Lytechinus pictus: one gene and its partner. The protein of the gene in region 2 purifies or fractionates together with the protein of the main gene of each other region. This does not show direct contact. Links are inferred from orthologs where the notes say so. Each region holds a gene or a part of one and is shown on either strand. Other genes may lie near its edges.

What was found.
Region 1: the proteins of mitofusin-2-like (region 2) and E3 ubiquitin-protein ligase parkin-like purify together in Drosophila melanogaster (affinity purification with western blotting; 3 studies listed by BioGRID). This does not show direct contact. The link is inferred for Lytechinus pictus from reciprocal best matches to the Drosophila melanogaster genes Marf and park.

What each region holds. Positions count from the first base shown.
Region 1 is NC_087248.1:10,159,377-10,171,414, reverse strand, and holds the start of E3 ubiquitin-protein ligase parkin-like, read right to left. Parts: upstream 4,879-12,038; 5' UTR 4,687-4,878; coding exon 4,477-4,686; intron 192-4,476; coding exon 56-191; intron 1-55. UniProt on the Drosophila melanogaster protein: E3 ubiquitin-protein ligase which accepts ubiquitin from E2 ubiquitin-conjugating enzymes in the form of a thioester and then directly transfers the ubiquitin to targeted substrates, such as Paris, Marf, Opa1, Miro, pnut, Septin1, Tom20 and porin.
Region 2 is NC_087246.1:5,733,813-5,745,172, reverse strand, and holds the start of mitofusin-2-like, read right to left. Parts: upstream 5,897-11,360; 5' UTR 5,791-5,896; intron 3,815-5,790; 5' UTR 3,787-3,814; coding exon 3,627-3,786; intron 1,948-3,626; coding exon 1,821-1,947; intron 808-1,820; coding exon 645-807; intron 1-644. UniProt on the Drosophila melanogaster protein: Mitochondrial outer membrane GTPase that mediates mitochondrial clustering and fusion.

The DNA of each region.
Region 1 (12,038 bases), on a different chromosome or scaffold from region 2:
TATTAAAACAATGCATCATTTTATAACCTAAATTTTTTTTTTAGCATAAACAGACCTTTGTCCACAATTCTTGATTCTAAGAGACCACACACCGGTGGTTGTTCCACGTCAATGTCATGAATGGTCTTGGTATGTTGAATCCTCTGAGAAGGTACAGCATGGATCACAGTGTTTTCACAAATCCTCAGATCCTACAGGAAAAAGAAGGACTGGGAATGTTATTCTAACATTCTACATGCCAATTTCATGTCTCAATTTTCCATGATATACATTTGTATAGATCTATGCAGGTAACTAGTTAAGTCTCATCTGATAGCGCCAAAGTTGCAGATCTCCACAGTCAGCCCTGCAGACTTAGGGACAGTGATTTTCCGCGATCGCGGAAAACGGACGGAATTCACGGAAAGGGCCTTTTGAAACGGAAAATGGCATTTCAAACGGAAAATCACGGAAAACGTATTTTCCCTCAAAATACACAGAATAGCAACAGAAATTACTCCAAAATCACAACAAAATGAGAATATTAAATGGCCGAAAAAACCCAGAAAACACGATCTCACTTCGCTACTATTATGACAATTCACACTCGATTGTACCCCGCACCGTACCCGTACCCGGCCGGCCGGGTTGGGCTTCACATGCACACATGTATCGTTCAACTACATGTACACAGTTGTGTGTTGCTGCCCTCTACGTTTGAAGATGTAACAGCACGATATCGTGGTCTTAAAATCCAAGATGGCGGATTGGGAAAAGACGTTGACTGATGATAACGATGTCCAAAAACCCCCAAAATTATCGATGAAATATCATTTCACCGTGAAATAATGCTAATAATATGAAAGGTGAGGATGTATGCATGCAAAATGGGTGTGTTAAAATATTTTATTCACCCGCATAGATCCGATTAGAACGGATTTTATTGTGTTGTTGGTACAGTAGCAGATACAAATTTTGACCAGTGCGAGTGTGCATGTAAATGTGTAAACGGAATTGTCACTTTTCCGTGTGTACAAAGTCTATGGGGAAACGGAATTTCCGTTTTCTGACATGCTGAAACGGAATTTGAGATTTTCTGAAACGGAAAAGGCAATTTTTTGAAACGGAAAATCACTGTCCCTACAGACTCTACATCTATATAAAAAATCCTATGCGATAATGCCCTCAATTAATCACCACCCTCTTGTATGGAAAAGAAGTGAGCAAGTGTGAGCCTTAACAATAGACAATCTCTCAAAATATACACAATAATATTTTGCTCTTTTTATTTGTGTGGAATAATCAACACCTGTTGAATTGATAAATATGGTCTAATTGATCAATATCCAGTTCGTTATTGATTTCAGTTATTTTGTGACCAGCTACCCCAAACCAAAAATAAGTCGACAGGGAAGGTTCTCTGTAAATTTCCAAAATAATCAATAATTTGGTATTCAAAGAGCAGTAATGCCTGTATTGGAAAATTAGCTCATCTGAAAGTGATTCTTCTTCAAAATCGTACTGCCAAAATTTTAAGTTGTAAAGCTTGCTGAACTTGATTGGCGCTGGACTGAGCCGCCGATGCTCCCGCAATCCAATCCTAATGTTTAGCTTGCAGCTAGCTAGGGCTAGCCGGATAAAAGAATATTAGCATGGCGCAGACATGGGGTACCATTTTTTTTTGTCAATCTGAAAATGACTGCCCAAGGATTTTCCAAGAAAATCCTATATTTCTTTCAAATTTTTATGATATTTGGTGCACTTACTCATTAGGAACATTATTATCTGAAAGATTTTGTTGAATAAAAAGAAATTCATATTAAATCTGACTCAAGTTGTTAGGTGCGCAGACTTGGGGACCACCATCACAGTTCCAGAGTCAAAGACCCTAATATTTAAGTTAGTCTAGATTCCAGCTTCCTTCCACTGTGCGAGGTTAGAACTAACCTCGCACAAGGAACCGTGTTTGGCAGAGGATTTTAATTGTTAAACTAGATCTAGTGGTAGTGCCAGTCAGGCCAGTGGTGAGTGGGTCGTGTATGCTGGATGTCACTGCTGGCGTCCACAACACACGACTTCTAATTTTGTATGGCTTGATTTTTCTGTGTGCAGCGGCATGTACCCTTGAGTGCACCAGGCAGTACCCTAACCCAGGGAGCTCCGGCCCGCGAAGCCCTGCAGACTCTAGATCTGTATAGAAAAGCGGGTCGGAGCCCAGGACTCGTCCGTGTAATATTAGGCAGAGTGCTCTCCAAAATGGGGTAGAATGGGGTCGCAATAGCACCCCAAATAAAAAGGGGAAAAATAAATTATGCACTTACCTCGATTATATAGATAAAGGTCTATTGTGACACAGAATCCTGACATCGAGGCACAAACTGGACCCTCAAAAAAGGGAAAGTTCTGTCTCGTTCGTTCTCCTTTCAAAATTGAAAACAAAAGTAAAAAAGGCTGATCGATACCGAGAAATAACTCGACATAGAGGTCTAACTTTTCCTTTTATTGAGGGTCCAGTTTGTGCCTCGATGTCAGGATTCTGTGTCACTCACAGGGTAACCAGTAGTACCCGAGCCCCCTTTTCGAGCCATTGGCGTCAGGGTGACCAGGCGTCCTGTATTTCCCGGTATCGTACAGTATTTTGCTCATTTGTCTCTGCGTCCCGACAGACCCTTCCCGGGACGCATATTTGTCCCGTATTTCAGAATATTGAACAAAATAAAGTTAATACGTTTAAAAGTGAAGAATTTTCTTGAAATAACCAACAGATGACAAGGCAAAGACAACTATAAAATCGATAACTGTAAACTTTTGCAAGTTCTGCGGTGATTTTCTTGCTAACCCAAGGATTGTAATCCTTTATGTTTGGATTTGAAATCAATAAAATTAAACTTGAAACTTGAAGCTTACACTGCAAACGAATTGGCCTCCTGCCTGTGTGTGGCTACTAGCTCGGCATGTAGGATCGGAGCAGATTCTAAATGGTGCAAACAATCTCACATGATATTGGTAACAGTTTTCCACCAAAATAATCACAAAATCGGCAGGAATTTTTTAAATTATATTATGGATTGATTTTCTCAGATTACTGATTTGGTGATGTATTGAGTTTTCATAACCAGATCTATGTTGTTTCAGCTTTCGTTTTGAGTCTTCTTGTGATCGGTGCAAGCTTGTAATATGGGATGGAAGAGATGCCTGTGTGTGATGCCGCGATGTTTCATCTAATTTTTAAATTTTTTTTTGCTTTGAAATTTTATTCATTTCTGAAACATTTTAGTTTTTTTTATTCAAAAAAATATATATTAAAAAACACCAAATACCGCCTTTACCGGTAGGCTATTAAGATTTTTGTTAGATGATTGGACTTTTTTGTTTGCTTGAAATTTGAACTTTTTCCTCTTTCTTTCTTTTCTATCCTTTCTTCATCCTATCCTTCTTGCTTGCCCTTTTTTGTTCCATTTATCTTTCTTTCTTTCCTGATCCTTTCTATCCCTCTATGTTCATTTTTCTTTCTTAATTCCTTCTTTCTTTTTTATATTTCCTTTTTTATTTCCTTCCTTCAACTTTTCTTTGCTTCCTTCTTTTTATTCTCGTTCTTTCTCTCCTTCCATTATTTTCTTCTTTTATTCTCTCCTCCCTTCATTCTTTCCTCCCTCTTTCATCCTTTCTTTCTTTCAATTTTTCCTTCTAATTATTTTCCCTTATTCTTTCTGTCTTTCCCTCCCTTCCTTCCTTACTTTACTTGTTTTTCTTCTTTCTTTCCTTTTTCCATTTTCTGAATCATTTTTCTTTCCATCATTCTTTCTTTCTTCCTCCTTTTATCTTACTTTTTTCCTTTCTCTCATTTATTTTTTCTTTCACACATTCGTTCATCTTCCCTTCCTTTCTTTCTTTATTCATTTTTCTCTCTTTTATTCTTTCTTTTATCCTTCTTTTATTTTAATTTTTTTTCTTGCACTTTCCCTTTTATTCTTTTCTTTCTTTCTTTTCAATTCATCTCTTTTCTTTGTCTCCTTCATTCTTTCGTTCATCCTCCCTTCCGATTCTTTATATTTTTTTACAATTCTAATTTTTAGCCTTCTTTGTTGATCTTTTTCATTAAGCCTAGGCCTGGCTTGGTCGATCCGCTCGTGCAGCGTGCTTTGTCGATTGTGACTCCCGTATAACGTATTTCTTTTTGACTTTTGTGAAATCCGGGGAGCGTTTCATCAACATTTTCGTCCGACAAGTTGTCAGATCTGACATCTTTCCTTGATTTTGATTGGCTGAGAGGTACTGTTCCTATAGTAACTGTCGGATAAAATGGGACTTGTCGGATAAAACTTCTGACATGACGTCACAAGTCCTTTCATGAAACGCCACCCTGGACCTGGTCACCCTTTTTGTTGGTTGACGTTGTGCGGATCTGCGTCTTTTCATTCATTCTTTCAATCATTAATTCAGGCGCAGTAACTTAGAATCTAAAGTTCTAAACACTTAATCTAACGTTAGGCCTACCTCCATTGTTTGCACATCAGTGATCAACTTCCCAGCGAATATCAGGCGAATATCTGCGGGGGACTGTCCCGAGAGACGAGCAACCTCGTCTCGTATCTCGGCCCCACTTTGCGTCGCGTGAACAGGCATCCTCATTTCTGCTACATTTCCGGAAAATTTACCCAACCTTGGAGACTGAATGAGCCTGACTGATATAAGGATCTGGTCCATCTTTGAATGACACGTTGAAATATTGTAAATCACATAAAAAGTGACAAAACATAATTTATAACCATGAATGATAACGTCGTTTTAATAATACAGGCCAGGCCACACGAATACATCGCGCGCGCGTGGCCGGCGAACACGTGAAATTTTTGAAGCGCGCTCAGCTATTCTGGAAAAAATCGTCTGCTGGAGTAGAACAGCTGACGAGTTCGAAAATCCCCTGATGAAAAAATTAGTTGATCAAAAAGGGACCTGTTAAAGGACAGGTCCACCCCAACAAAACGTTGATTTGAATAAAAAGAGAAATATCCAACAAACACAACACTGAAAATTTCATCAAAATCGGATGGAAAATGAGAATGTTATGACATTTTCAATTTCGCTTAATTTTTTACAAAATATAGTTATATGCACATCCTGGTCAGTATGCAAATGAGGGAACTGATGACATCACTCTCTCACTCACTATTTCTTTTTTATTTTATTATATGAAATATTCTTATTTTCTCCTCATTTTCCTGTGAAACAAAGTTTTATTTTGCCCTGAACATGTGGAATTACCATTGTTTAACATAATTTTTATGGCTCAGTCAAGTTGGTCCTTATTGTCAAATCTGTAAAAATTGAAATATTGTATAATTCAAACAATAAAAAAAAAAAAGAAATACTATAGTAGTGAGTGAGGGACATCATCAATTCTCTCATTTGCATGTGACTAAATTGTGCATATAACTATTTTGTGAAAATCTTCTTATTTTACATCCTATTTTGATGAAATTTTCAGCATTATGCTTTTCTGATTTTTCACTATTGATTCAAATCAACATTTTTTTGAGGTGGACTTGACCTTTAACGGCTGCTTGCAGTTAGCCATGAAGACGTTACATATTTCAACAATCAAATACTAGTAATGCGAGCGCGAAGCGCGAGCTGAAAATTTGACATTTCTACCTGAAGAATGGACATTCTAAGCACTTTTTGCAATCGTGAAAAGGATAAGTATATACAATAAATGCGAGCGAAGCGCGAGCGGAAAAATTCGAGATTTACATTTAAATATGGGACACTACTCTATTCATGTTTGGTACATCATGAAAAGGATGAGTAATTGGAAATCTTCCTACATCAATAATGCGAGCGCAAAGCACCAGCAGATTTTTTTTTAATATTGTGATCTGAAACTGGATAATAATTTAAATAGAGAACAAGCTGCGTATCTGAACATGCATATACGCGCGCGTGTTTCAGATTTTGGCCTAGAATCTAGGCATTCTAAATACCTTTTCAATCATGAAAATCAATTATTTATTTACCTATTTATTTCTTCAAATAATATTTCCATAGGGTGCCCTGTCAGCAAAGGCTGGTATCAAAAGGGGCCCTAAAAGCATTACAAAAAACACGTAGGCCTATATACAAGTGATAAAAATATACAAAGTAAAAACATTATATAAATCATACATATTAGAATACAGAAAGGCATGCAAAGTCGGAGTCATTAAAATATTTGTAACACCGGACATAATATATGATTTGAGTTTTTTTTTTTAAATAGAGAGGGTGGATATGGTTTTTAAATGAAGGGGCAAGGAATTGAACATTGATATATTGAGGAGATAATGAATGAGTATTTATAGTATCAGTATTGCATTTTGGGACATCGAGTTGTAGGTTGGAGGCAGATCTTGTTTAAAGTTATCATTAAAGACATCGGAAGATAAATTATTTAGACTCTAAAATATTAATATACATCGGAAATACATTACTCTTTGGTGATAGGAGAACCATTCTAGTTTTTTTTTATTGATCAGACGGGCTGAGGACGTGAGCTCTGTTTGAGTATTATATTCTGGCAGCAAGTTTCTGAAGTGTTATTATTTTTATTCGTTTGTGTGATAAATCGTAAACCCCATACTTCACAACAATTGTCAATTTGACTTTGGATTAAACAGTTATAAATTTATTTTGATGTGGTAAGATCATTGAATGGATGAAAAGCGAGCGCGAAGCGATGGCTTAAAATATTTGATATTCCGATCTGAAAAATTGTCAATTTCAGCTCTGTATTTCAAGCACTTTGTATATAGGAAAATTGTGAGGTGGATATGGATCACAGTTAAAAAAGAGCTGATATCATGGATATGTTTCATTATTTTTACTTTGAGTTTTGACATAGGACCCGGGGCATTCTACGAACATTATGTCGTCATATGAAAATGATGACTATCTTCCTATTTCTCTTCCTAAGCGCTAGATGAAACTTGTTGAAATTCCTTTCTGAAAAAAGACAATTTGATTTGTAAATTAATATCTTATTTATTAATCTAATAAGCCTCGTGAGAGCGTGAAATCTGTTAATATTATGGCCTGAAAATTGGACATTTAAAGCACTTTATGAATAAGATGCATGAATTAATATATTTTCAACAATCAATGCGAGCGCAAATCGTGAGCCGAAATTTTAGATAAACTGTCATGAATGGGGATTTTAAAGGGATTGTCAGGGCTGAAAATATTTATATCTAAATAAATGGAGTGAAATTCATAAAGCAAAATGCTGAAATTTCATCAAAATCGGATAACAAACACTGACAAATATGGAAATTATTGAATTTTAAATTTTATCAATATTTTGTGAAAACAGTTCTATGCACATCGTCATGATTATACATAAGTTGGGCTGATGATGTTATATCCCCATTTTCCTTTTTCTTATGTTATTACATGAAATCACAAATGTTTCATATTGTCACACATGTGAAAATGATGTGTCTCCATTATGATGAAATAAATTGCGGCAATAAAAACTGATGCACTTAATCAGTTGTCGATCCAACTGTTTAAGTTCTTGGTAGATTTTTTTTTGAATAAACCTGATTTCATAAAATAAAACACAAAAGAACAAGTGGGTATATGACATCATCAGCCCACCTAATGAATATTCATGAAGACATGCTTAGAACTGTTTCACAGGAATAATGCAAATCTTTAAAATTCAATAACTTTTTCTGCATTTTTCTCTGTGAATTTTACTCTATTTATTGACATATAAATATTTCCAGCCTGGACCATCCCTTTAAGTAGTTTGTTATAGAATGAATACTGAGATATGCATATAACTGATTAGGGATAATTTCGAGAACTTTATGGAATACCGGGAAATAAAAGGTATCTGACAAAACAAATTCTGCGAGCGCGCAGCGCGAGCATAAAATGTTAATATTCAGACCATAAAACACAAATTTTTGCAGAGCACTTTTAAAAAATAAATGTCAATCAATCAAAATAATGATTTCCGAGCTGAAACGTGTTTTGTAAATTGACTTCAAAATTTGATATTTTAAGCTCCATATTGAGCAAGATATGTTAATCACCAAAAAGCGATAATTGTTTATAGTGACATGAAAATTTTTGAAATTTTCTTCCAAGTCTTCCCCTCATCTTTTTTTATTCACTCGTCTTCCTCCTTTTATGTTTCCCCTTCTTTTTCTCCTCTTTTATTTTCTTTCTTTCCCCCTTTTTTTTCTTTTTTTTTGCTCCGCCAATAGGGGGGGGGGGGGGCGGGTCTCGTTTTCAAGTAAATATTCACCAAATATATTTCCTCTCATTATTTTGGTTAGTGCAATACGTATAATGAATTCCTACAAACAAGTCTTAAAATACCATGAAGTTCGGGTATCAGCACGCGCACGCGCTTCGCGCTCGCAATATTTGATTAGTGAAATAGGCCTACGTATCATCTTCATGATTACAACCACCAGCGTATCCAGCATCAACTACGACAAAGAAAATGTATGGGCCCGTGCAAAAGCATGATACAGTCACTATTGTCCCTCATTATTGGGCCCATGATGCTTTCATAATAGGATCTGATGCTGGATACGCAACAGATGACTACAAAAGTTCTTCATATGTGTTTAGGTGTGAATCTAAAAAATCAGCAGTGAGCGCTTGACGCTCAATTTTTTTTTCTTTCTTCAAATTAAATGACGATGGCGAGATATCGATATGTATATGCTCTTCATCATGAATTCCTTTTCTAAAAATAGTCCTTAAGGACGTTCCACAGTTAAAATGAAATCATTTTAAGCTTCAGCACCTAATTATTCCAAATATGCAAAAAAAAAACCATAATAATAAAATGGGTTCATGTGCTTGTCTTTTTGCTATCAGCTCACCCAATTTGAAGTTTGTATTCACAGGGTTTGGACATTTTCAGACTTCACGTTGAGTTTAAATAATTCAATCAAAATCCCTGTAAATTTCATCACAGTATAATTCAAATTGTATACTTAAGATGGATAATCTATTCACATTGTTATTTGATTGCCCTTTTAATGCTAGCAGCACCTTCAATTCACAATAGCTATCTCACAAATTTGAAATTTCTGTAACAAATTTGCGAAGTACAATAAATGCTACACTTTTTCCAAAACGCATATGTCATTTTTACCAAAATTTGCAAAGTTGGAGAGGAAAGTATACTTACGAGGTGTAAACATCAAGTAATAGGGGTTCATGTGCTTGTTTTTAAACTCACCAACAATATGTTGCGCCAATGCGGGCCAATGCTTTGTATATGAGAAGAAACATCTCTAACTGATCTACCGTTTATTCAAACTCGAGGTCATATTCGTCATTCTTTGCAGTATAATTCCAATGCAGAGTTAAAGTATTCTGAAATTGTAGAGGTATTTCAAAAATGGTTCCATGGATTATTTTCAGCTAATATACGTTTTATAATTATCATGATTATGATATGTTATTGGAATGCATATCAAGGAAAAATCCACTGATACATAATAACTAATTTAATCATATATTACTATATGGTTTGCAATGTTTATTTGTTGGGCAAAATCTGGGTACTGTATAACATAAAGGTTGGAAATTGGAAATATATAGGGACGGTGAACTTCATAAAATATGATGACTAAAACGAAAATAATTTATTTATTCATTTATTTATTTCAAATCTTTAACCAGAAGTGCCTGTTCAGCGTTGTACAACTTAATATGCAAAATTACACAATATATACAATTATTAAGACCTTCATTAACAAAAATCGCTGGTCTTCCACAGGGATCTGCCTATCTAAAAACATATAATTCATAACATAAAGAAAACATAAGTAAAATAATTTCGTGTAGATGCCAGTCCCATGCAGGCAAAGAAGAAAATAAAGAAGAAAAAGAAGAGGAAGAAGGAGAAGGAGAAGAAGAAGGAGAAGAAGAAGAAGAAGAGGAGGAGGAAGAAGATGATGAAGAAAAAGAAGAAGAGTGAAGAATAAAAAGGATACGAGGAAGAAGAAGATGAGGAAAATTCGAAGAACGGAAGAAGAGCTGTGTCTGAGAATGTTGGCAATGAAGGTAGTCTAAAATCGAAAGTAACAATGAAGGTCCACCAATTAAGCTCTCCAATAGTACAGAAACCGGATCCAGGGGGGGGGGTGGAAAGTGAGAGCCCCCCTTTGAGCATACAACAATAACAAAGGGATAGAGAGAGAGAGAGAGAGAGAGAAAGAGAGTAAAAAACTGGAGAGATGTAGCCAAATGCATTAAGTTGGCAGTGATGATTTTTTTAATTGAGTTTTCATGATTCTGTGTAACAGAAAAAAGAAATTAGAAAAAAGTAAAATAATCAGCATATACACCCAGGGCCTATTTTGGAAAATTCCAGCATAGGCCTTTAACAAGTATTATGACCCTGTTTTTTTTTTGGGGGGGGGCTGTCAAATTTTTAGAACACTGATGCACCTCTTCAGAAAAATCCCAGACCCACACCTGAATTATTTGAGGATTCCAACAAATACTTCCCAGTCCCCCCCCAATAAAAAGTTTATTTGAATAAAAAGAGAAAAATCCAACAAGCATATAACACTGAAAATTTCATCAAAATCAGATGTAAAATAAGAAAGTAAGGACATTTTAAAGTTCGGCTTAATTTCACAAAACAGTTATTATGCACATCCTGGTCGGTATGCAAATGAGGAGACTGATGATGTCATTCACTCACTATTTCTTTTGTATTTTTTTAGATGACATGTGAAATATTAATTTTCTCCTCATTGTCAATTGAAACTATGATTAATTTCTCCCTGAACATGTGGAATTAGCAATGTTTAATACTATATGGTTCAGTCAAGTTATAGTCCTTATTGTCAAATCTGAAAAAATGAAATATTGTATAATTAAAAAAAAAAAAAAAAAAAAAAAAAAGTGAGTGAGGGACATCATCGACTGTTTCTTCATATATCACTGTTTTGTGGAAAAATAAGCAAAACTTTTAAATGTCATAACTTTCTCATTTTTCATCCGATTTTGATGAAATTTTCAGCGTTATGCTAGTTTGATTTTTCTATATTTATTCAAATCAAAATTTTTCTGGGGGTGAACTTGACCTTTAAGCTTCCCGATCATGCATGCATGCGGCCCATGCAGTCAGTCGCGGAGCACCCCCTTCTCCTCATTAGAACATAATTTTTGCAATATAATCGTAAATTGATTACTTTGAAAAAAAAAATCATATAACTTGGCGGACTCAGGGGGGGGGGGGGGGCACACCGACCAGTGCACCCCCAGTGGTAAATGATTTATATAGGGCCGCACACCCAAGCAAGCGAAGACCTCAATCTTTTTAGCAGGTTTCCTTTTCTTTATCTTTTCTTTTCTATATCGCGCCATGAGCGTCTATTTATGATGGATACTGGCCCCGGTAGTGGCCCCGATACTGGCGCATTACAAATGCTCACATTATTGTTATTAATCTCATCATCTTTTTTATGCTTGTCATTTCTTTCTGAGCCAAAATGCCCCCTAGTAAAATTCTGGATCCGCCCCTTATAACAAATTTGACTGCAATAATTTATCAATACAATAATTACTGAGTCGTAAAACATTATTTTGTTGTGGGTAAACAATGAATCACGGCACGTGTGTATACAGTACCGGTATCTGATGTTTTGGACGGGGATTCGTTTTGGACACATCGCGATCGTGAATATAATGCACGAAACATCTACTTTTTTATATATACCCGGAAGTAATCAGACCATACAGCGACAGCGCGAATACAAAGTTCTGTGGTTTGCGATGAAAAATAAGGAAATGGACATGGACCCTTTAACAAAGCAATATTAACTACCGCGGACTATTTCAGATGAGAAAGGATCCAGTAATGCTATTTTATTTCTGATTTACATCTGCTTGGACTTGCGGGACAATGGCCAGGCATGGAAGCCTCGGTGGCCGTGGAGGAGGTTATACGACAGTTTTTCCAAGTTCAACATGTTCATCATCCGTGTACGACGGTGAGTATTGGAAGATTTGTGCAGGCTCAGTACTCGCAGCTCATG
Region 2 (11,360 bases):
AAATGCAAGATCTATCATTGAACACATATATTCTTATTTTTGATTCACTTGTGATGGATAATAAAAAAATGCAAGAAGAGGGTTGTTTATATAATATCCCTATTTTAATTTAAAGTCTTGATGTGAGAAACCATTTAAAAATAAATATCAATTTACATGTATACAGCTTGATGTAAAAAGAAAATTAAGAATCCACTATCAAAAGCAGAAACCCCGAAATTACAAAAATATCAATGGGGGTGATTAATAATTTCACTCTACATAAATGCATAAATATATATATATATATATATATATATATATGTTACCATGGTAATGCAGTAGTTCATTCAACAGGATTTTCCTCTTATTTATTGCCATATAACAATACCAAGCTTGTGATGGCAATTCAGCACAAAACGCATTCAAAGGATGGACCCAACCCACAGTAGTTTGATTCCTACATAAACCTTGTTCATTGTTGTTTATCAGGGTATAGCAACACACCAATACCCCCCCCCCCCTACCCAACAGTGGAAATCAATCCTGGACATCAACAAATTACATAGCCCAAACAGGTACACATGTGAATGGTTTATTTGCATAGGAAAGCAGAGCATAAACCATTATCGGACAGTAAAGGTATTCTTAAGCCTAGTACTCACAGTTATACTCATTTTCTCTGAGCTGTTCTGTCTGCTCATGTAACCCTCTTGCCCTTCGCATCCCTCAACACACAGAAAGCAGTCTGTGGTGTGGCCGATACCAGAGGGTAGCACCTTATCCCTTAACATTGCATTAATTACTGTACTCTTGCCGTTACTCGTTCTGTTAAAAAAAAAAAAAAAATTCATTGACCTGATTATAAAGTTCATAATTATTGCAAATAACATAGAGAGTACATGTATTAATGAGAATGTGCAGTCAAATTTAATATTATTATGTACATTGCAATTTCATGATGAACATAAAAAAAGTTTTTTTTTTTCCATAAGTCTCATCACAGGTGGACCCTGGAGCATTCATGGATGAGTGTCTATTTACAATTAATTGTAATTTTTTTTGTATTTTTTTTCCAGACTTATACCTGTTAATTGTAATAGATTGCATTTTTCTAAATTATATACAGGGCAAAGGTTATCCATGCAAACACTGTCATATTTCCTGCTGATGTGAATTACATTGTCTTTGGTAATATAATTTTAATTTGCAAGTATCCACAAAAGGTACTACATACAGGTAAATCTATGATTTAAGCAGTGGTCAATGTAATGATTATTACATTTAGTCAATGTAATGATGTCTATGAACATATGTTAGATTTATCAGTATTTTAGTACTTGGAAAATAATGCTTGAAAATGATTATAAACAAGGTAAAAAAAAAATCCAAAAACAAAAGATAAAATTCAGCATAGTCATTAAATTCTATAGGTAACCCTAAAAATTATGGGGTGGGGAGATCTGATTCAGCCACATCCTTGTGACATTTTTCAAGATGAATTATTAATGTGAGGTCTCACCACAACATTTCTGAGCAGGGACTTTTTCTTCTATCTTGAGTCCTGCACATTGTTTTAAGACCAAAATTGGGGGTTTCAAAGTTAAGAATGATTTTGTACAATCTCATATTGAATCAGCCCCCTCTCCCAGCTATTTAGTTTTTTAACAAATTACAACCATGGCTTTAATAATAAGAACTTTAAAATGTCAGTTTTCATATCAAGACCACTGAAATGTACATGTATATCATTACAATGTTCATTGTTAATATAATAGCCTTTATTTTCATTACAATGCATTTGTATTATTTGCCCCATCCCCACAACTATTTAATCTCACCTGCCGAAGAATGCTACTTTCATATGATCTCTCTCCAGGACATCTTGGATTCCTCTAACCTGGTTACTGAATGCTTCTACTTTACTCAGTTGTTCATCAGATACTACCTGCGAAGCTGAAGATATCCCTGAAAATCAAACAAAGAAAATTAAGATGCAGTCTCATAAACTATGATAAACCCTGATAATAGCAATGTGCCATTCTCCTTTCCCAAACAAACCCTACTTCTGTGAACTTTGACCCCACAATAATGGTTGTAAAGTCAATGTACCATCTCAAAGCTTTAACTTGAGACTAGCACTATATCTGACCCCATTTACCTTTCAAATTCTCCTCCAAATCACCACTATGAGTAAGCAAATGGTCGTATAAATGCAAACTTTTTCATCATCATCATCATCATCATCACCATCATCATCATCATCATCATCATCATCATCACCACCATCTCATCTAATATAGGAGTGAACTGTTGATCTTCTGATCATTGACTAAGTCATGGATTACCGTACTGTCAGTTCACAAAGTTATACATGATGCAAACAATGGATGTCAGGGTACATCAAAATATCTGCCAAGCCAGAAATTATAATTCTATAAAACCAGTCTCAAATTTGACTAGATTGCATGCAGATAGGAAGGATTACAACAAAGAAAAGAAAATCAAAGACATCGTAACAGCTTACACAGCTGAAAAAACTGGTATCATTGTTTGGTACGCTATGGCAGTGTCTTCCTTAATATAAATACGGATGAAACCCTGGAAACAAGTTAGCTTGTGTGACGATAGGAAAATAAAAGGGTAAATTGCCAATTTGACTGCTGCCGACTCGTCCACTCACCACATGGTCTACTTTCATTTAGTCCACTGCCATTCCATCCATCAACAATTCGTCTAACAACCATTTGGTCCAATCATTACTTTGTCTAATCACCATTTCCTCTCATAACCAGTTGGTCTAATATCCATTTCATTTTCATTCATTTTTGCACAATCAACACTTAATTCAATTAGACCAAATGATATATAGATTAAATGGCTATTGGACCAACTGGTTATTAGACAAAATGGTGAGTGGACGAAATTGGCAATAAACCATGTGTGGATAGTAGATGAACTGATGGTAGACCAAATGATAGTATACGAGTTGGAAATTTTGACGAATTGGAATCAGACGAATTGGAAATAAACCAATATAAGTACCAAATCAATGAAAATTTGAGAAAAATTGAAAAAGAAAATAAGTTATGATCATTTGAGTGTTGAGATAAGCAACCGAGATGTCATTATACAACTCCCTAATAATTGTTATACCTGTACATATTTACTTTGTCACTTTCATTGAGTCTATCCATAGGTATAGATTAGGTGTTTTATTTCTTAATTATTTTTTCATGGGAGGACATGTAATAATGGTTCCATAAATGGACAAGAATTCCACTCATAAGAATGAAAGAAAAAAAAAAAAAAGATGTATTGGGGATTACTTTCAGTGCACTACACAAAGGGGAGAGTTGGACATCTGTGACATCACAAATCTAGTCGCACTGCCAATGGGACAAATTCCATAGTTGACCTTCAAATGCTCACAACTTTCTTATTATTTGTCCAATTATTCTAAAACTTCCATCACTTTTTTTCTGTTTTCATACAAGTTGACTTGTTCCAAGAGTTTCAAATTCATTTCCATGAATATTAAAATGGTAAATTTGGGGTTAATTATGAGACCTAATTCCCAAGATTTTACTTTTCTTCTTTCCAAAATCTACCCCCCCCCCACCACATAATAGAATTTGAACTCTTACCATCCAGGAAACTGTGGCTGTCCATGATGTGACCCGATACCTCCTTGTAGATTTCATTAATCTTTCTTTTGGCATCAACAAACAGTCTGAGTGGGGTACTGGTACGACCGTCTTCTGGTCTAGCCATTGCGCTGGGCCTGCGCCCATATCCGTTGTCCATGGTACACAAAATATGTAGGCTGAAAGACCTGTGCAACATGTACATATAAGAGATATTAAAGTATTACAACTTTCTCCCAGCAATGCCCAAGAATTGTCGTTTGTTGACAGCACTAAGTATGACCAGCACCAGGGGTTGTCCAAGAAAACAAAGATCCAATAAACCAAGACAAATCATGTCTTGATAAATGGAGATTATCCTTGTTTATGAGGACAGTTTTTTTAATTTCAATCTTAGGTAATTTCCTGCTGCCATTCGACATGGCAAACTTATTTCACAAGCCAGCACAGTCAATCACCACAACACACACCAATTTTTTGTATTTCTCCTCGTACACAGACAGCTCGCGATCGTGCAGCTGCCATTAGGGGATTAACAATGCAATATCCCCCGACATTGATTTTCGTCTTTATTTCATTAATAAAGAACTGACCAAAATATAGAGTATTATTCCCTTTTGGCCTGAAATGCACCATGATGGGAAAAAATAAACTTAGATTCTAAAAAGTAAAAGGAAAAAAAAAACCAGTGAATAACTATCATACTATTCTAGTCTGGACTTAGCTAGACTCAAGTTCGGCTGTCGCGCAACTCCCACTTCCCTGACCCTGGTTTATTCGAACATACATTTGATTTGGCCATCGAGTCCCTGTAGTCTGTACACATCGAGTTTAAAGAACTTTAGTCACTGCAATATTGGCGAGTGGCAGGAGTGGAGCCAACGGAGTTTAGCGGAATGACCACACTTTAAACAGTAGAGGCGCACGGCCAATATTGGAGACTGTCTCCAATGTGGGAGATTATCTCCAATATCAAAGACTTTTGTAAAGAATTTGGGTATCCAATTTCAGAGACAGTCTCCAGTTTTGGAGTCCAATTTTCATTTGTTTACATTTGCTGCAAAAGGATTAACTTGGCGGCAAATAAAAATGTGATAAGCAGATTCCTCATGAAAAATTACCCCTTTTCACCGTCTACTTTTGTTTTGATAAGGATTTTTGTTGTCAATCACACACAAAACAAATGGGCTTCTGACCTCAGGCTCAGTGAGACAAAATTTTGGGTGGAAAAAATCATGCTTTTGTTGGTGTTGTTTCTTTTATCCTTTTGCAAAGCAAGTCTCCAATGTGGGAGATTGTCTCCCCTATTGGAGAGAGTTTCCCAGTCCCATATTGCCTATTGGCCGTGCGCCTCTATTCTCTAACAAAAAAGTTACTGTTAAACACTAGTTACACTTACAGATAAAATGTTGTAAATCGGATCAAAATTCAGATCGAAAAACGGATCGGCAGTTAAGCTTCTAAAATCAAAATCGAATCGAAAATCGAATTGGCGATGTTTAAAAACAAAGGAAAACAGAGACCAAGCTTTTGTCTAGTAACTTAGATACAGTAAACTTAACATGTGGGACCAGAGACAAGTTTTTAATAATAATAAAAAAAAAATTATAATCAGAGGTGAGTGGTCACAAATAAAAAGATCTGATAAAAGCTGAAGGGTGTTGAAAAAGTCTGAAATAGAAAGAGCTCCCATACTTCTTGTACAGAGGAAAGCCAAAAATAAGCTGAAAAATGAAAATCAAAACAAAAAAATCAGATATCAGTTAAAAATCTGCCAAGGCCAAGGCCAAGCCAGTCTCCCACCCCTGCCCCTGCCCTGGTCTGGACAAGAATAGATTTTCAGACTGGATAGACATAACCCGGGACATAACAAAGAGATCAGATAGACATGATAGAATAGATCCATCTTGACCTTGCAGCTTGACTTTACGGCATTATCGTGGTTTATGTCACCTGTCCATTCACTGCCGTTTATTTCGTCAGCGGTGGTGACATCTTTCCACTCCCATTGGCATTGACTTTGTAAATTGTAGTGAGCGTACACGCGAGAAGGGAGGTGACAAATTTCACGATAAGGCCGACTTTACTTGGGAGAAATCTCTCAGTGGTTCTAGCAATAAATATCAGTAATGTATGTAAAGACATATTTTTTGTCTTGCCTCACCTTATGTAAGCTTGATTTTCCCCCTTGCTGTTGCTTCAGCATACGGTATGAAATCAATGCATGCGCTGCGCTGCATGCATGTTGTGTGGATCATATCCACTGAACTAGAGATACGTGGAATACGTGTCCCCATTCCCAACGTACACAAAGCCGTGCGGCAACGAAGAGCATCGGGCTTCACGCTCGACTGAGCGCGCCGCCATTTTGCTAGGTCAATACTGGCTGGTCGACAAATGCTGCGTGTAGGCAGATGGGAGAAAGGAACGCAAAGAAAGTGTTCCTTGTGCTGTTCAAAGTTTTAGTTTGCTTTGTTACATCATGAACTATATGTTACTGACTACTTTCATAACTGAAAATGTTGATTTAGTCAGATTTTTGTATTAAAGTGGAGTAAACATAGCCTAATATATGAAATCATAAAAAATCTACCTTTTTCACGCGCACACTGTGACAAAGAAAGGCCCCACAACAAATTTGCTTTCTGAGTAGGCCTACTATTTGTCTGAACAATAAAGGCCTTCTAGCTGGTTGCATTAAAAAAAAAATCTTTTAACGATTAGAAATCATGTCCCTTTTCTCTAGCTTTTTTTTTTACACCTCACTTCTCATTCAACTATTCATCTCATCTCATTTTCTCTGATTTTCCTCTTCAGCATATTTAGTGTCCATCTCTCTTATCCTCCCTTTTCTCCATCCCTTCTATTTCTTCCATTTCTACTTTCATGCATGCCCCTCTCTCTCTTATTTATCCCCTTTATATCATCTCGATCTCCCTCTTTATTATTTTTCCTTTCTCTTTGGCTTCTTTCTCTCTGATTTTCCTCTTCTTTCTCATCTCTCTCTCTTACCTTCCCTTTCTATCTATCCCCCTTATATCTCTCTTTTATTTCCCCATCTCCCTTATATCAAGCCCTCTTATCTCCCTCTCGTCTCGCCTTTCTCTCCTCACCTCTTTCTCATTCCTCGTCATTTCCCCTTTCTCTCCCTCTCTCTTTGATCTTCCTCTTCTTTCCATCTCTTCTCGTTGATCGTCTGTTTCTTTTTTTCTTTCCGGCTCCATCTTTACCATTTTGCCTTTCTCATTTCAACTTTCTCTATATAAATTTTGAGTTCAGGGTGAAAAATTGAATAGAAGTTTGAGGACAAGAAGGTTGTTACTTTTAATGAGCCTCCAAAGTTGGACCTTCGTGCGCTCAGCCATGAATTATCTAGGGGTGATGGATAAACAAATTCAACTCTAACAAGTTTACTAATTAGAGCACAAATCAGAAAAGCATAGAAATGGTAATTCCATTTAAAAAGTTGTGGCACTAAATTTCGCTTATTTTCACATACCAGTTATATGCATATCCTGGTCAGTATGAAATATTCCACATGTCAAAAATTGCACAAAAAGACCACTATCTCTTGTCAAATATTTCCCGGGATCGTCCCGTATTTTGCTCCTTTGTCCCGGCGTCCCGACAAACCCTTCCCGGGACACCTATCTGTCCCGTATTTTTAGAATACTGAACAAAATGTAGTTGATACATAATTTAAAAGTGACGAATTTTCATCAAATAACCTAACAGATGACGAAGCAGAGACAACAATCGATAACTAAACTTTTGCAAAGTTTTGCGGGTGATTTTTATCCTATATAACCCAATACATTGCAAACGAGCTGGCTTCCTGCCTGTATGTGTGTGGCAGGCTCTATGCATGTAGGATCGGAGCAGATTCTCAATGGTGCAAACAATCTCACATGATAAACAGTTTTTCCACCAAAATAATCACAAAATCGGCGGGAAATTTTTATCATCATAATTATAGATTCTCATATTACTGATTTAATACACTCTTAAAAATGTTGGGCAACATACGGTCCACACAACAATTGGTTAAAACTTTATCCAATTCTGGGTAGTTTTACACCAATACTGTGTAGTTTTCACCCAAAGCACACATTATTGGTGTAAAACTACCCAGAATTGGATAAAGTTTTAACCAATTGTTGTGTGGACCGTATGTTGCCCAACATTTTTAAGAGTGTAGGAGGAACAAGTTTTTTTAGTTTTCATTACTGGATCTACATGTAGTTGTTTTAGCTTTCGTTTTGAGTCTTGTTGTGTAGGATGCCGGCGCTGTTTCCTCTAATTTGTAAGTTGACAATGTTTCACTTTGAAATTTTATTCATTTCTAAACCACTTTTTCAAAATTTTAAAGATATATATCTAAAAAACACCAAATATCATTATCATTTCTGTTAGATGATTGGATTGCTTTTGTTTGCTTGAAGTTTGAACTTTTTCCTCGTTCATTTTTATTCTTCATCCTTCTATCCTTCCTGCTTGCTTTTTTTGTTCCATCTATCTTTTAATATTTCCTACCTTTCTTTCCTGATCCTGTCTGTGTGTTAGTTTTCTTTCTTTCCTTCTTTCTCTTATCTGCCCTTTTTATTTACTTCCTTCTCCCTTCCTCGATCACCTTTAATTTCTTTTCGTTTTTTCTCTCCTTCCATTATTTTTTTTTCATTCTCTCCTCCCTCCAATCTTTCCTCCCTCTCTTTCATTCATTCTTTCATTCTTTATTTCATTTTTCCTTCTATTCAGTTTCCCCTTATTCTTTCTTTCCCTCCCTCCCTTCCTTCCTTCCTTCCTTCCCCCTTCCTGTTTTCTTCTTTCTTCGTTTCTTTCTTTCAAAGAATGAACACATTTTTCTTTCCTTCATTCTTTGTTTCCTCCTCCTTTTTCTTACTTTTTCTTTCTCACCTTTATTTTGTCTGTCACACATCTTCCCTTTCTTTCTTTTTCTTTTTTTCTATATTCGATGAATTCAAAGAATGACGGAAACATTTTTTCTCTTTTATTCTTTCTTTCATCGTCCTTTTAATTATTCTAACTTTCTTTCATTTTTCCCCTTCATTGTTTTCTTTCTTCTTTCTCATTTCATTTCTTTTCTTTCTCTCCTTCATTCTTTCGTTCACCCTCCCTTCCAATTCTTTATATTCTTTTCACAAGTATAACTGTGTAGCCTTCTTTGATAATCTTTCTTATCGATTGTCCCGTATTTCATTTTGTGAAATCTGGTCACCCTGATTTAAACCCTTTTTTTAACTACATGAATTACCAGGTCCCAGTACATTGTGCATATAGAAATATGGTTGTACATGATTGGCTTAATGACATTAAAATACACTTTGCCACACTAAGTACATCAGTATTAATTCTATATTTATAGAGAAAACATATTGCATCTTGCACATACTTTCAATTGCCTTCTACGGCGCGTTCTCGAACAATTGACCTAGCAAAATGGCGGCGGTCACGTGACTTATCAAGTTCGCCGGCGATGTTTTGCTTGGGTGAACACGACTTCCACGTATTTTTAGTTCAGTGATCATATCATGTAAAATTCATTACAAAATTTGGTTGCGCTGGTTCAAATAAGAGCTTCATACTTTAGTACCGTAGTAGTGTAGTAGCAGCGAACAACCAGCTGCCGCACGTGCGCCATCAGCGCGAAAGAGGCGCGCCAGATTTAAACGTACCGGTAAATAGCCCAGCCAGCCAAAGGAGCCCAGCCGGTTCTGCCGGCGCCGCTAGCTAGCCCTAGCCGGCCGCGCCGCCGCCGCTAGCTAGCCCTAGCCGGCCGCGCCGCCGCCGCTAGCTAGCCCTAGCCGGCCGCGCCGCCGACACATCGCGAGGTCGAGGCGTAATAACTCGCTGTGTATTTGTAGTGGCTATACTGTACTAGGCTGCAGCTAGTGCTACTGACACTTCGCTGACTACTCGTAATCGAGTGAGGTCTACTGTAACTAGTTACAGTCTGTAACTGTAAGTAGAGCGAGATCTAAGTAAAGTTAGACCAACTTGATCAAACTTCAGGTCAACTCAGTGATGAAATGCAAGATGGGCGAGGAGGACAATGTAAATGATTTGGCCTATACGCAGGCAAGTATTTACTTTACTGCCTTTAGTAATTATTTTAGAGTACTTTTGTTTTTGTTTTAGTACAATTAATGGCTCAGTTTGAAGACGATATTTGTAATTTTGTTGAAGATAATCACTGTAGGGCCTAGTAATTAAGTATAAATGGTAACATGCATAATGCTGTCCCTGATTGTAACTATTGCACAGAAAAACAGTTTTTTGAATTAGTTTGTAATCTGGTAATACCAGAATGAGCACTGACCTAACTCTCCTTCATAATGAATATTCGCAGCTTGTGGGCTTGTCCCTATTGCCTATTGGCCACTGGCGTAAATCCCGGGGGGGGGGGGATGGGGGGATATATCCCCCCCACTTTTCGAGGAGGGGGGGATGGCCTGTACAAACATCCCCCCACTTTTTACGAAAGAAATGAAAAAAAATCACAAGAGATAATTGTTTTATTGGTGAAAATTCTTCCTGAAATACCGCTTAACAAATAAAACAATTTTATTGCATCATAAATGATAAAATGCAAATAAAGAGCCAGTTCACCATTTCCAAACGAAATACTTATGACGGTTATGTCCTTATTATAACATTGAAGAGAAACCCCCGTTTCTTCCAATTCATCAATGTTGGGGTCTTTGAGAAGGGATCAAGATCGAATGTCAAAATATATGAAACATTTCCTGTCCGTGATTACGTTCGCATTAGTGGATTGGTGAGATATGTCTGCTCTTCATGAATTCCTAAAATCAGTCCTTAAAATGTCCCTTCTGATCTGAATATAAAATATTTTCAGCTCGCGCTTCGCGCTCGCATCATTTGGTTATTGAAATACGTATGGTCCTAGTTAATTCCTACAAAGAAACCTTAGAATGTCCACTTCAGGTCTGAACTATATAAATTTTCAGCTCGCGCTTCGCGCTCGCAATATTTGATTAGTGAGATGCGTATGATAATCATGATTGCAATGACTACAAAAAGTGTTTCATTTGTTCAGATCTAATTCTGATAAAAACAGCAAGCGCTTGGCACTCGCATTAGATGACTATGGTGAGATATGCATGCTCTTAATGGATTCCTAAAATATATTCCTTAAAATCTCGCTGTTTGGGGTAAAAATATACGAAAACTTCAGCTCGCGCTTCATGCTCGCATTGTTTAGCGAGACAGGTACCTATCATGATTACACAAATTTGATTACAATGTCCCTTTTTAGGTGTGAATATAAAAAAATTTCAGCTCGCGCTTCGCGCTCGCATTATTTGATCAGTGAGATACATATCCCTTTAATGACATTGTCCATGTCTCTATTAGGTCAGAATAACTGGCAACTGAGCGCACTCACTCAGTGATTCAAAATTTTGCTGGTGCCCCCCCCCCCAATGCCGTGACCCACGGTACGCCACTGTGTGGACATATCAATGACAATTCCTTGCATATCTAAAAACATGATTGCAAAAAAAATGCCAAAATATTTCAGTCATCCCCCCCACCCATCAACACGGATTTACGCCAGTGCTATTGGCGTCTCTGAGCATGCTGAGACTTGGTTATCTAATTCTAGTGAAAATGATATGAATCTCTTTTCTGTTCCAGGTTATGATATAATTTGTAATAATAGGAAAAATAAAAGAGGTGGTGGTGTTACAATAT